3 linked regions of the Caenorhabditis elegans genome follow. The protein of the gene in region 1 purifies or fractionates together with the protein of each later gene. This does not show direct contact. Each region holds a gene or a part of one and is shown in the gene's direction. Other genes may lie near its edges.

Region 1 (4,782 bases):
ACAATCTGCTCGAACTTGGCTCTGGTGAGCTTCAAGTTAAGATGTTTTGGTCCAGATTGATCCATGGTGATGTATGGAAGATTAATGTCGGTCTGGGTGGTGGATGAAAGTTCGCACTTGGCCTTCTCGGCGGCTTCACGAAGTCTCTGCATGGCCTGTGGATCCTTGGTAAGATCAACTCCTTGCTCCTTCTTGAACTCTCCAACGAGGTGATGGACGAGAGCGTGATCGAAGTCTTCTCCTCCGAGGAATGTATCTCCGTTGGTGGACTTGACCTCGAAGACGCCCTTTTGGATTTCAAGAATTGACACATCGAAAGTACCACCTCCAAGATCGTAGACAGCGATGCTAAAAAAATATATATTGTGAAAAGTATTACTCGAGCGCTTAGCCTACATCTTATCTCCAGCGTCCTTATCCAATCCATAGGCGAGAGCGGCAGCAGTTGGCTCGTTGATGACACGAAGAACGTTAAGACCAGAGATTTGTCCAGCATCCTTAGTAGCTTGACGCTGAGAATCGTTGAAGTAAGCTGGAACTGTAACAACGGCGTTGTTGACGGTGGTTCCCAAATAGCTTTCGGCAGTTTCCTTCATCTTCATCAGAACGAATGCTCCAACCTGAGATGGGGAATACACTTTTCCTTGAGCCTCAACCCACGCGTCTCCGTTGCTGGCTTTGACAATCTTGTATGGAACGACCTTTCTGAAAAATGAAAATTTAGTGAAAAGAGTCCTTTTTTAAAAGAAAATTTAGTGAAAAGAGTCCTTACAAGTCCTTTTGAACCTCTGGGTCTTCGTATCTTCTTCCGATCAATCTCTTTGTGGCGAAAAGAGTATTGGCAGAGTTGGTAACGGCCTGTCTTTTGGCTGGAGCTCCAACAAGACGCTCACCGTCAGCAGTGAAAGCAACCGTCGATGGAGTGGTTCTGACTCCTTCTGCGTTCTCGATAACTTTTGGAGTCTTTCCTTCCATGATACTGACACAGGAGTTTGTGGTTCCAAGATCAATTCCGATAACATGTCCCTTTGGTTTGTCCGACAAGCTTCTGGCGCTCATCAAGCTCGATCGAGCAATTGTGCGAGCGGAAGACAAGAATGATCGTGCGGAAAGCATAGTGCCTGAAAGAAAATTGCATCATGAACGAAAACGCGAGAAAATAGGATAAAAAGCAGTAAAATATAATTTGTAATCGGTTTTTGAGCTTATTTTGACATTTCCTAAACAAAATGACACAAAATTTGCTTTTCAACCGTTAAACGGGACAATTTCTTGTATTTTTGATAACAAAAGTCAGGGCATTTTGCATCATTTCCACTGAATATGCCAAGTTTTAGGAGAATAATGATGCAAAATATTGGAAAGGAGAGCTAAAAGGTTTAAATTTAATGAATTTTTCGTTGGAAAAAACTCGAGAAATTTCTCGAAAAAAAGAATCACGGGCTTTTGCATCAACTTTCAAACAGAAAAAAACTTCTCGTCTCCGCCCATTTCACATTACGGTCAGGCGGCGGGTCTCGCAGCGCTTGTTGAGATTGTGTGCGCACACATTGCAGTTACGCCCCAATCGCAACACGCGGCGCGTTTTTCTCTTGAATTATTTTTGCTTTATTTTTGGCGAAAATGAGTTTTCTTTTTACAAATAGGGTTGCAATTAAAATTTTAACTTCTTTTTTTAAAATTATTTTACGAGGTGTTAAAATCAATGATTATTTTGCAGAAAACATGGGATTCGCTTCCGCTTCTCGCGAAGAGAAGCTGAAAATGCTGAAGACAAATAAAACAAGAAAAACTACGAAACATTTAAATCGCCTTGCAAAGCGGAAAAAGCTGTCGAGAGAGATTCGCGATGGAATGGCAGATATTAAATCAAGAAAATCTGCAGATTTGAGGCAGAGAGCTGTTAATGTGAGCAATTTTTCGAAAATAAAACAATTTATCCAATAATTTTCAGATTGAAGATGATTTCATCGCCGACAGACAAGCTCATTATGAGAATAGTGATGAAGATTTGCCATTGGACATGATGGACGCAGATATCGATTGGGAGAACAGCGCATTTGCCAACGCAAAAAGGCGGCTTGAGAAAAGTAATTGTTGTTTGAAAATTAGTTAATAAACTTAATAACGTTAAATTGCAGAAAGAAGTGGTGTAGAATCAGACAGCGACGATGAAGATGATGTTGAGAAGAAAAAGAGAAAATTCGCAGGACTACTCGAAGAAGGCCATGAAGAACTTCTGCCGATTAAGCTAAAAGATGGAACACTGATTCGTCCGACACGAGAAAAAGAAGTTAAGGAAGACGAAGAAGAAAAAAGCGGTGATGAAGAAGAAGAAGGAGAAGAGGATGAGCCACATCGGGAAGATTTTTCGCATCTTTCCGCGTCGGAACTTATTGCAAAACGACGGGAATTGATGCAAGAATTCAAAGATACTATTGCATCACATGCTAATATGCTTTTATCAAATCCACAAGTCAATGTAAATTTAATTTTTAATTTTTTCTCAGAAATCTCAATTTTTCAGATCGTCCGTCTCCGAGATCTCTACAATCTGTGCAACGGCGAGAAAATCCACTCGCTGGTGCGAGAATCCGTTCAAAAACTCGCAATCGCTAGTACTCTCCAAGTTCTTCTCGATATTCTCCCGGGTTACGCGATTCGTGAGCAGACGGCCGAGGAAAAAGCCCAGAAACAGAAGAAAGAGACGAGAAATCTCGTTAATTATGAAGAATCGCTGTTGAGATATCACCTCAAGTATTTGCAGTTGTGTGAGAAGCTTTCGAATAGTGAGTGCTTGTATGGACTCGAAATCACTAAAATTACCAAATTTCGTGGCGAAAAACTAAAAATTTCGGCTAATTTCAGCTAAAATCTTCAATTTTGGCTTGTTTTTCGTGCTGCGACCCGGAAAAATAGCCGAAATTGGAGATTTTTTGGCGGAAATCTGCTAGAAATTTTGACCATACCTTCTTAAAGGCGCAAGGATTTATTCTGAAGGGTCCTGGCGCGAAAAATTTATGGTAGTTTTTTTTTTTGTATTTTTAAAGAAATTTTATCGTTTTTTTCTTCATTTTTCTGCTAAAAGTAGTTTTAAATTTCTTTTTTTCAGGCTGACAAACTGGAAAAAAAAACATGCTTTTTAAAAGTTTTATCGTACTAAAATTGTTTTTTAAAACAAATTTTGACAGAAAAAAAAACGGAATTAATCAGTTTTTCTTGCATTTTTCAACGGAATTCTTTCGGTTTTAGCGACTTTTGTCGTTTTCCTTATCATTTCATTGTTAAAAATTGTTTTAAATCAGTTTTCAAAGTACAATGGCACTTTTTTCACTAAAAATGTGATTTTCTCGTTTGTCGGGCTGAAATTAGCTATTTTAAACAATTTTTAACAGAAAATTGAAGAGAAAACAACAATATTCGCTAAAAACAAAGTAATTACATCGAAAATACAAGGAAAAAACTACGATAAACTTTTGCGCGCCGAGACCCATATGAATAAATCCGTGCGCCTTTAAGAAGACATGCCAAAATCAAAAAATCTACTGTAGTTACGAAATAAGAGGATTTACTCTATTGTATCAACAAAAAAAAGCATAAAACTCTAATTTTGACTACTTTTCTGTGTCGCATCAGTCTGAAAGCCACAGAAAACAGGCCAAAATTGAAGATTTTAGCTAGAATTACCACTTTTTTTAAAAATTAAAACAAAAAAAATCCTTTTTTTTTTCAGAATTGGTCGGTAAGGATCGTCATAATGATGAGAGCACGTTCACATTCAAAATGGGAATTCTCTCTGTGAAGGTAATCAATTTCCCACGTCGTGTCAGAGTGTCTCATTTCGGCTTGATCTACGTAGATCTACAAAAAATGCGGGAGAAGAGACGCAGAGTTCTCAACTGATTTTGCATGGTTAAGAACGTGCTGCTGATGTCACATTTGTTTGGGCAAAAAATTCCCGCATTTTCTGTAGATCAAACCGAAATGGGACAGCCTGGGGCACAACGTGATTTCCCGGCTCAAAATCAAAAAAAAACTTTAAAAATTTTTACAGGCGCTAGCTCGAATCGTGGTCTCCGCTCCACACTTCAACTACTCTACGAACATTGTCTCAAGTCTCGTTCGTCTTTCTCTTGCCAAAAATGAGACAGTTATTCGAGAAGTGTGCGAGGCTATCCGGACAGTTTTCAAAGAGGATATTCATCTCAAAATCACCCTGTTCACTGCTCGCTCCATCTCGACTCTCGTGACAAAGAGGAAAGGAAGAGTACCGCCAGAGCTTCTAAGGACTCTTCTATCGATGAATATTACTGAAGTGAAAGATGAGGATAAAAAGTCTGGAAAAGATGCACTTATTGCGAAGAAATATCAAATCAAGAAGGAGAAAGCGAGCAAGACGGCGAAGAAGTATAAGAAACAACTTGCCAGACTTGAAGCCGATCTTTTGGAGGTTGAAGCCGAAGAGTCGATGAGCAAAAAGTTGAAGAACGCCACAGAAGCCATGAAATTCGCCTTTCAATCATATTTCTCAATTTTGAAGCGTATGCCAAACTCGGCTCTTCTCGAGCCAGTTCTCGAAGGACTCAGCAAATTTGCTCATCTTTTGAGCATTGAATTCTACGAGGATATCGTTTCAACTATGGAGAATATGGTTCAAAATGAGAATCTCAAATCATTGGATCAACTTCATTGCATCAATACAGTCTTTGTAATCTTGTCTGGAGATGGTCAACTTTTGAATATTGATCCATCAAAATTCTACCGTCTGGCCTATCGAGTTCT
Region 2 (3,115 bases), on another chromosome or scaffold:
AGTTTAAAATTGATATATTCGTAAAAATAAGATGTTCTTAAAAATTCTGAGAATGCGTGTTGCGCAAAATATCTCGTAGCAAAAGCTACTGTAATTATTTTATATGACTATTGTACCGTTCAAAATTACTATCCAAATATTTGATTTTTTGTTTTAAAAAATTATTTGGAATTTACTCAAATATTGAAAACAATATTATCGAAATTCCAGAAAATTTGGTGGAAATTCCGAAAATTTCAATTTTTTCGCTAATTTTCGAGAAAAAAAAAATTAAAATTTGGATTATATGAAATAAATTTCCAAACATTAAATTAAAAATTTTTTTTTTTTGGATTTTCCAATCTCGAACCTTCAAAAATTGAATTTTTTTGAAATTTTTTTTCGGAAAAAGTAAAAAATGCTCGAAATATCGACAAAAAGTTGAAGTATTTTTTTTTGTAAAATTGGAGATTTTTGAGATAAAAAATCTGAATTTTCATTCAAATCTTGAACATCAAAATCAGCAAAAAAAATTGCTATAAATTTATTTAAATAAGATTTAAAAAGAGTAATTCGCTATGATTTCAAATTTTCAAAAAAAAAAATTTTTTTTTCAAGTTTTAATTTTTGAACACTATCAAAAAATTTATTTTTAAACCAAAAAAATTCCGAATTTTCTGTAAAATCTCAAAAAAAAAACATTCCTAGAAATTTAATCGAATATGATTTAATAATACTATTTTTAAATCATATTCAATTACATTTCTAGGAATTATTTTTGCTAGATTTCAAAAAGTGTATGAAAAATTAAAACTTTTTGAAAAAAAAACTGTTCTAAATATAATTTATAACACCAGAAATTCACTAATAACACTCCACATTTTTCCAGACCTCCCACCAACTATTCGCCAAAAACCGTGCAAAACGAGTGATCGCCGTGCTCGGCGACGGTGTGGACGCGAATCTGCTGGACGATGAGCTCGGACAGATTCTACGGAAGCACACGAGAATCGAGATGCGGAGCCATTTATTCTGGACACTTTTGCACTCATCACTTCCATCACGACTTCCATTACCATCGAATAGTGGCGATGATTCGTCTCAACTATATTCGGATATCTATGGAATTGTGCCTTCCGATGTTGTTTAGCTTACAGTTTTCCCGTTTAGGTCACAGTTTTTAGTATTTTTTTTCCTCTTCCAAATGTACGAGTTTCCATTATTCACGAGGTTTCTTTTTCACCCCCAATTCTTCTGTGCACAATTTGCCATTTTTTGAATTTTTACAACAATACCGGTACTATATTTTTCGATTTTCTTTCTTTTTCTATGAATCTTGCCATCATTCTCTAATAATTGACCAGCGATTATATTTTTGATTTAATAATTGAATATTCTCGTTTTTCAGTTCAAATTATTGCTTTTTTCTGTCACCACAAATTCAAATTCTCGTCCTACCCTGTGTGATCTTCTGTAATATATATATATTAATAATCGTCGTTTCTTCTTGTTGTCATTTGCGGATGCTTATGAAGCTTGTATTTTAATTTTTTGTTTTGTTTTTTTTCCTGTTTCAGCTGCAAAAAATTCGGTAGAAATTCTTGAAAACACGCAAAAAATGAATAAAAAAAATAGTATATTAGCTTGTTCGAGAGGAGTTCACAAGCGGGTGGCCTAACATCTCCGCGGCCGCCCAGTGGTGTACTCCTCTCGGGTGAAAGAATTCCCATTTTATCATCAGTTTTTCGGCCTATTTTTTCAGTTTTTCTCAACTAAATAGTCAATTATCTCTTAAATAATGTCGAAATTAATTTAATTTACACATTTTTCCAATAAAATTCCAATTTTCGGTCATTAAATTACCCCTTTCGAATTTTGCTCTCAAAAATTAAATTTTCATCGATTTTTAATTCTCAAAATTCTTGAATTTTCAGCGAAGATGGGCAAATTCAGCAATCAGAAGAAAAATCGTGTCAAGAACAAGGTGGCGGTGACAGTAAAAAAAGCGCAACGCATGAAGGCAGACGCTAAAAATGCCAAAAAAGACGGTGAAGTGGATGTTGAGATGAAGGAGGAGGTGGTGAGAGTCAGAGGACTCGCCGTATCGTCGCTGGTGAGAAAAAAAAGGAAAAACTCGGCGAAATTCTTGATTTTGATTTTTTTTTTCAGAAAAAATTGGCCTCCGGTGAGCTGCAAAACGTGCCAAAAGTGAACGAGAAGAAGATTATCCGCAAGACAGAGCTTCCAGTTCGAGAGAAGTAGGATTTTCTCGATCTCTCCAAACAAAAAAATTGTTTTTTTCAATTTCAGCAAAAAGATCCTGGACGCTCCGACTGGAAAACGTGGCACCACTGCTCAATACATCACAAAAAAGAAGGCAAAGAAGATGTACAAGAAGATGACACACGACGCACGCGACAAATATCGAAAAATTCAGGCGGAACTGGCCGGAGACGGTGAAGATGACGAGGAGGGTGAAGCCGAGGTGATGGAGCAGTGATTTTGGATTTTTCCGCGGCATTTTTAAAATTGTTTTTTTTTGTTGATTTTGTTACTGTTTTTCATTTTCCACATAAAATAATCGAAAATTTATTTATCACAAAAACTTTTGCACAATTTGCTCAGCTGAGTGAGCCAACTGTTTGCCACGTGTCACGATTCGATGCATCCATCCATTGGGCTCCTCGAGCTCCGCTTTCGGAGCCTGTAGCTGCTTTAGAATTATTGTCCAGAGCTCAGAAATGTTCATCGAGTACTGCGCGGAAACTTCGACGAAATTGCACTTGTGTACTTTGGCCAGGCAGGCTCCTTCTGGAAAAATCAATTTAAAAATCGATAATTTGAAGTTCCACGTGGAGCCGCGACGCGGCACGCGTTGCATCGTTTTTTTTGGTTGAAAAACATGGTGCATCGAAGAATTTTCCTTTGACGATTTTATACGCAATGCATCACATTTGACGAACAAAAATTCAAAATACTTTACTTTGCAAACGCGCTCCATTGATAAACTTATGAAAAATCGATAATGCTCAAATTTCACAAAATTTTCCTCCATTTGAAATTATATAATTGTTAAACAAAATTAATAAAACCAAACATTACGCGCAGTTTCCGATAAATTTCGATTTTTTCAAAA
Region 3 (5,042 bases), on another chromosome or scaffold:
GCCTGAAATATTCAATTTCACAAATTTAGACTTTAATACCCGCTTTTTAATGAACAATTTACATTTATCTTGAATTTTTCGGTAAATTTCCAATAAAATTACACGAAAAAACATGAAAAATCAGTCAAAAATGCGAAAAATTGATGAAAAAAAAATTTTTTAAATGCAAGCGCGCTCCATCGAACGAATCAATTGGCGGAAATTCAAAAAGGAATTAGGGGAAAAGTGAGATTTTTTCAATTTTCAAAAAATCATATAAAATCTAGAAAATTATTTTGAATTTTTAATCATGGTATTCGGTCATTGTGACCCCATAGGCAAATATTATGCAAATTGGCCAGTTTTAAATGTTAAATACAAAAAGAAAATTTAGAAAAAGCGATTGAAAACCCAAACTCTTCAATTTTTTCAGCTACACGAGAATGTCACTACGGTTCGTGGAAGTGGAAGTATCCGTACGGGAATGGTCGAGATGGTTTCAATGTTCCTGAAAAGGTGAACAATTTTCCCAAAAAAAAAAACCGAAAAAATCAATTTCTGGCCATAAAACCCAAAAAAAAAACCATTTTCGCCAGATAAAAAATCAATTTTCGTTTTGAAAAACCCAAAAAAATCAAGTTTTGTCAAAAAAACCGAAATCTCAATTTTGCCAAAAAAAAAGTGGCAAAAATTATCTTTTGCCAATAAAATACCTATTTTTGGCAAAAAATCTCTTTTTGCTTTAAAAAAACCCAAAAAATCTCAATTTTGTAACAAAAAAAACCAATTTTTTGCCAAAAAATACCAAAAAAACCATTTTTGCTATAAAAAACAAAAAAAACATTTTTTTTTTTGAAATTTTTGATCAAAAACCCAAAAACAATCAATTTTCAGATCTATTGCATTCTGGACATGGAGCAAGGAAATCTGTCATTCGCCACAGACAACGAGTACCTCGGAGTTGTATTCCAAAATCTCCGGGGAAAACGATTATACCCAGCTGTGGCGACTCTTTATGGAGACTGTGAGATTACCATGACACATCTGGGATCACTGGAACGTGAGTTTTGTAAACGTGCGGCGCAGAAAAAAGGGTGTGATGGCTGTCTTTTTGTAGATCTCCTTCTCGGAGTTTCTTTTCTGAGAAATCGCGGTTTCTAAAATCATGTTTTACAAATAAAACCGAGCCGCGACGCGACACGCAACGCGCTGTGAATCGGCCACGGCCGGTGTAGATTTACGGCGCTTTGCGTGTCGCGTCGCGTCGCGGCTCGGCTCGGTTTTAGCTAAATTTTAGTTGTAAAAATTCGAGAAAAGCCAGAACCAAATCGAAATTCTTGTTTTTTTTTTTCAGCAGTCGAGATGCTACCGTTGTTCGAACTGTGTCGACGTCGTTTCCGAAGCATAATGGGACCAGACCCCGACAAACGCATCAAGCCGCTGATGATCCCGCCGGTTATGAAGGAATATTTGTTGTATGAGATTGAGTGATATTGATCATTTTCTCGCCAAAAATTCACATTTTTCTCCTCTTTTCCACTAACCCACAAATCCCCACGGTTTTTCACCACTTTTTTTTTTGCAAATTTCGCTGTCAAATTGTGAATTACTCAGATTTATATATTGAATATATTGCTTTTATACCTGAATGAAAATTGGAATTTTGTTTTACAATGTTTTAAAATATTTTGACTCTTTTCCAAAAGCTTTTGTCGTTCAATATCGCTTCACGATTTGAGTTTCCGCCAATTTCAATGCGTGACGGCCTAGAAAACGCGGGGGGACGCGGCCTCTGGACACCTCGGGTCTCGCCACGAAAACCGAACAATTTATTTTTTTTCGCTATTCTTCGCCGATTTCTTGCTGAGAATCTTGCATTTTAAAGGTTTTTTTCAGTTATTTTTTACTTAAAATCAATAAAATAAATTTTTGCGCACTCAAATTATCAGTTTTCATCGTTTTCCAACAGTTTATCGCCTTGTTTTAGGAATTTTCCATCAAATTTGTCATTTTTTCAGATAAAAACAATGGGAGGTGGCAATTTCCGTCATCGTACAAGTAAGAAGGGAGCAGCGAAATTTAATTCAGGATCAGCGTGAGTGAAAACGTCGATAAATTCGTTGAATATAATTAAATTTAATTGTTTTTTTGTTTTTTCAGATGTGAAAGCAACCCAACGAGAAGCAAGCATCGCGCCGCTGCCAATGCCGCTAGAAATGCTTCTTTCGGCGGAGCCGGCATGCTTGCCGTCGAGGATCGTCTCATGAACACCGCCGCCGCCGACGATATGCTGCTCTCGGCTCTTCCGATTCATTCGATGGATATCGGCTCTTCGTCGAAAAGCATGGTTTCCGAGGGAGGCTTGTCTAAGCTCTCCGGATTCACGGCTTGCACAAATCCTGCGTTTGATTCTGTCAATCGGGTCTGGAAGTGAGAATTTTAGCGTTTTTTCCAAAAATTCAACAAATTTCACGACCTCCTGGAGTGTTCATAATTATTAGAGCGCGCTGGCTCGGCACCTCACGAACTCCAGAATTCGCGGGAATTCGTTCAGCGGGGACAGCAGTTTTTTGCTATTTTTGGCTTCTATAAGAAATATTTTTGATTTTTTGTTTTATAATATTGTTGAGAAGCATCATCCGAATTGAAAATGTGTAAAATTATGAAATTTGCCCGAAAACTGAAAGTTTTACAGAAGGAAGTCATTATAGTTTTTAAAAAAATGTTTCAGGATTGCCAGTTTTGCGAGTTATGCGTCGTAAAATATGTCATTTTGTAGAGAATTAAAAGTTTCATGAGAATTTTCGTTTGAAATTTTAATTCTTTAATTTCTAATATAAAAATATTCAAAAAATCAACAATTTTACGTTAAAATCTTGTTTCTTAAATTTTTAAGCTTTTAATAAAAGCAATTTTAAATTTTCAAACGAAAATTCGTATGAAACTTTTAATTCTCTACAAAATGACATATTTTACGACACATAAAACGCAAAACTGGCGATCCTGATACATTTTTTTAAAACTGTAGTGGCTTCCTTCTGTAAAACTTTCAGTTTTCGGCTAAATTTCATAATTTTACACATTTTCAATTCGGATGATGCTTCTCAAGAATATTATAAAACAAAAAATCAAAAATATTTCCTATAGGAGCCAAAAATAGCAAAAAAACTGCTGTCCCCGCGGAACGAATTCCCGCGACTTCTGGAGTTCGTGAGGTGCCGCACGAGCGCGCTCTAATAATTATTTATAACACTCCAGGAGACCGGGAATTTTTTATTTTCAAATTTGATTTTAAACTCTTGAATCTCTTTTCCAAAGCACGAGCCGTAGACTGATAGATTTATTTCTTCAGATCTGGGTCCTCTATTCAAGCAGAGGTTGTCTCGGTTTTGGCAGCAATCGCTGAAGTCATCAAAGAGCGGGATGGTAGTTTAATTCCCCCATAATTTTAGGCCTAAAAATTAGGGATTTTCAGGCAAAGAATCCGACGTTGAGTACTGTGCGGCTCTGATGACCGCGCTGGAAGGATCCTCGCTGGGAAATCCCAGAAGAACGGCAGCAATCGCTTATCTGCTTCATCTGATTGTGAGAAAGGTGCCGAAAGAGGTGCTTCAAGCTCAGTTTCACAGATTTGTGCAGGTATGGGCTTTTTGTGAAGCAGCGGCAGTGGGGAAATTGCTTTAAAACATGCCTATGGGGTCACAATGACCAAATATCATGATAAAAATGTTCAAAAAAATTTTCCAGATTTTATATGATTTTTTGAAAATTGGAAAAATCACAATTTTCCCCTAATTTCTATTTAAATTTCCGCCAATTGGATTTGTTCGATAGAGCGCGCTTGCACGTTTTTTAATTTTGTTTATTTTATTTTTTGCTATTTATTTTCGTCCGATTTTTCATGTTTTCAGTGTATTTTTGCTTGAAATTTGAAGGAAAATTTGAGATAAATGCAAATAATTGATGAAAAAGCAACGAGACACAGTCTGAAAAAAGAAGAACTAACGATTTTAAACGACATCGAACCAGAATTGGCTGATTTCCTAGATTTGCGATTTGCGTAATAGATTTGCGTAAATGCGTAAATCGTAAATCTAGGAAATCAGCCAATTCTGATTCGATGTCGTTTAAAATCGTTAGTTCTTCTTTTTTCAGACTGTGTCTCGTTGCTTTTTCATCAATTATTTGCATTTATCTCAAATTTTCCTTCAAATTTCAAGCAAAAATACACTGAAAACATGAAAAATCGGACGAAAATAAATAACAAAAAATAAAATAAATAAATTTAGAAAACGTGCCAGCGCTCTACCGCACGAATCCAATTCGCGGGAATTTAAATAGGAATTAGGGGAGAAATGGGGTATTTGCAATTTTCAAAAAAAAATCATATAAAATTTAGAAAAATTTTTTGGATTTTTTAAATCATGATATTCGGTCATTGTGATCCCATAGGCATGTTTTTAATCCACCTATAATTTAAAAAAATCAATAATTTGCAGATTCTCTACACAAAACTCCTAGAAAACGTCGATAGCACCGAAGGATCCGCGTTGAAAAACCTCATTTCAGTGCTCGGAATCATCCTCCGTGCCCAGCAAGCGTCCGTCTGGTCCAGCGCCAATACGCGGAATATGCTCGTCTCTGTGGCTGCTCTGGCGGCTCACGACAAGCCGTGGGTCCGTACGATGGCTCGTCGTGTGATCCGGGCGGTTCTTACCGATCCGGTTACTGCGACGGATAACGGGTTGCATCCGGCGAGCGGAGCAGTTGGACAACTGATTTTGAATCATATTGAAAGCTTTTTGGGTTCGTAATTTGGCTTGAGAGAAGAAATCGGTCTCAAATTACCAAAAAATAACTGCTAAAAAGTTATTTTGCAGCCAAAAAGTAAAAAATCCCGCGAAAAATGAAAAAAAATCGAAAAAATTGAGTTTTCACTTTAGAATCCAAAAAATCGACGGAAAATGTGTTTCTAACTCGAAAATTTCGAATTTACAGTTAAAATTCAACTTTTCAAATCAATTTTCACTTTATAATCCAAAAAGTCAACGGAAAACGTGTTT

What was found. The genes of interacting proteins can lie anywhere in the genome.
Region 2: the proteins of C37H5.5 (region 1) and W04C9.4 fractionate together in Caenorhabditis elegans (co-fractionation; one large-scale study listed by BioGRID). This does not show direct contact.
Region 3: the proteins of C37H5.5 (region 1) and Y46E12BL.2 fractionate together in Caenorhabditis elegans (co-fractionation; one large-scale study listed by BioGRID). This does not show direct contact.

What each region holds. Positions count from the first base shown.
Region 1 is NC_003283.11:4,825,640-4,830,421, forward strand, and holds the start of C37H5.5 (Nucleolar complex protein 3 homolog), read left to right. Parts: upstream 1-1,720; 5' UTR 1,721-1,725; coding exon 1,726-1,908; intron 1,909-1,954; coding exon 1,955-2,090; intron 2,091-2,141; coding exon 2,142-2,482; intron 2,483-2,527; coding exon 2,528-2,789; intron 2,790-3,733; coding exon 3,734-3,804; intron 3,805-4,054; coding exon 4,055-4,782. Other genes in the region: Heat shock protein hsp-6, read right to left, coding at 1-348, 397-705, 773-1,116.
Region 2 is NC_003279.8:460,082-463,196, forward strand, and holds W04C9.4 (uncharacterized protein), read left to right. Parts: upstream 1-1,913; 5' UTR 1,914-1,918; coding exon 1,919-2,092; intron 2,093-2,148; coding exon 2,149-2,237; intron 2,238-2,289; coding exon 2,290-2,479; 3' UTR 2,480-2,570; downstream 2,571-3,115. Other genes in the region: tol-1 (TIR domain-containing protein), read left to right, coding at 869-1,129; W04C9.5 (GTP-binding protein), read right to left, coding at 2,576-2,790.
Region 3 is NC_003280.10:15,231,156-15,236,197, forward strand, and holds the start of Y46E12BL.2 (Ribosomal RNA-processing protein 12-like conserved domain-containing protein), read left to right. Parts: upstream 1-1,997; 5' UTR 1,998-2,006; coding exon 2,007-2,074; intron 2,075-2,139; coding exon 2,140-2,409; intron 2,410-3,331; coding exon 3,332-3,405; intron 3,406-3,454; coding exon 3,455-3,618; intron 3,619-4,478; coding exon 4,479-4,785; intron 4,786-5,042. Other genes in the region: spsb-2 (SPRY domain-containing SOCS box protein 1), read left to right, coding at 413-495, 874-1,039, 1,334-1,470.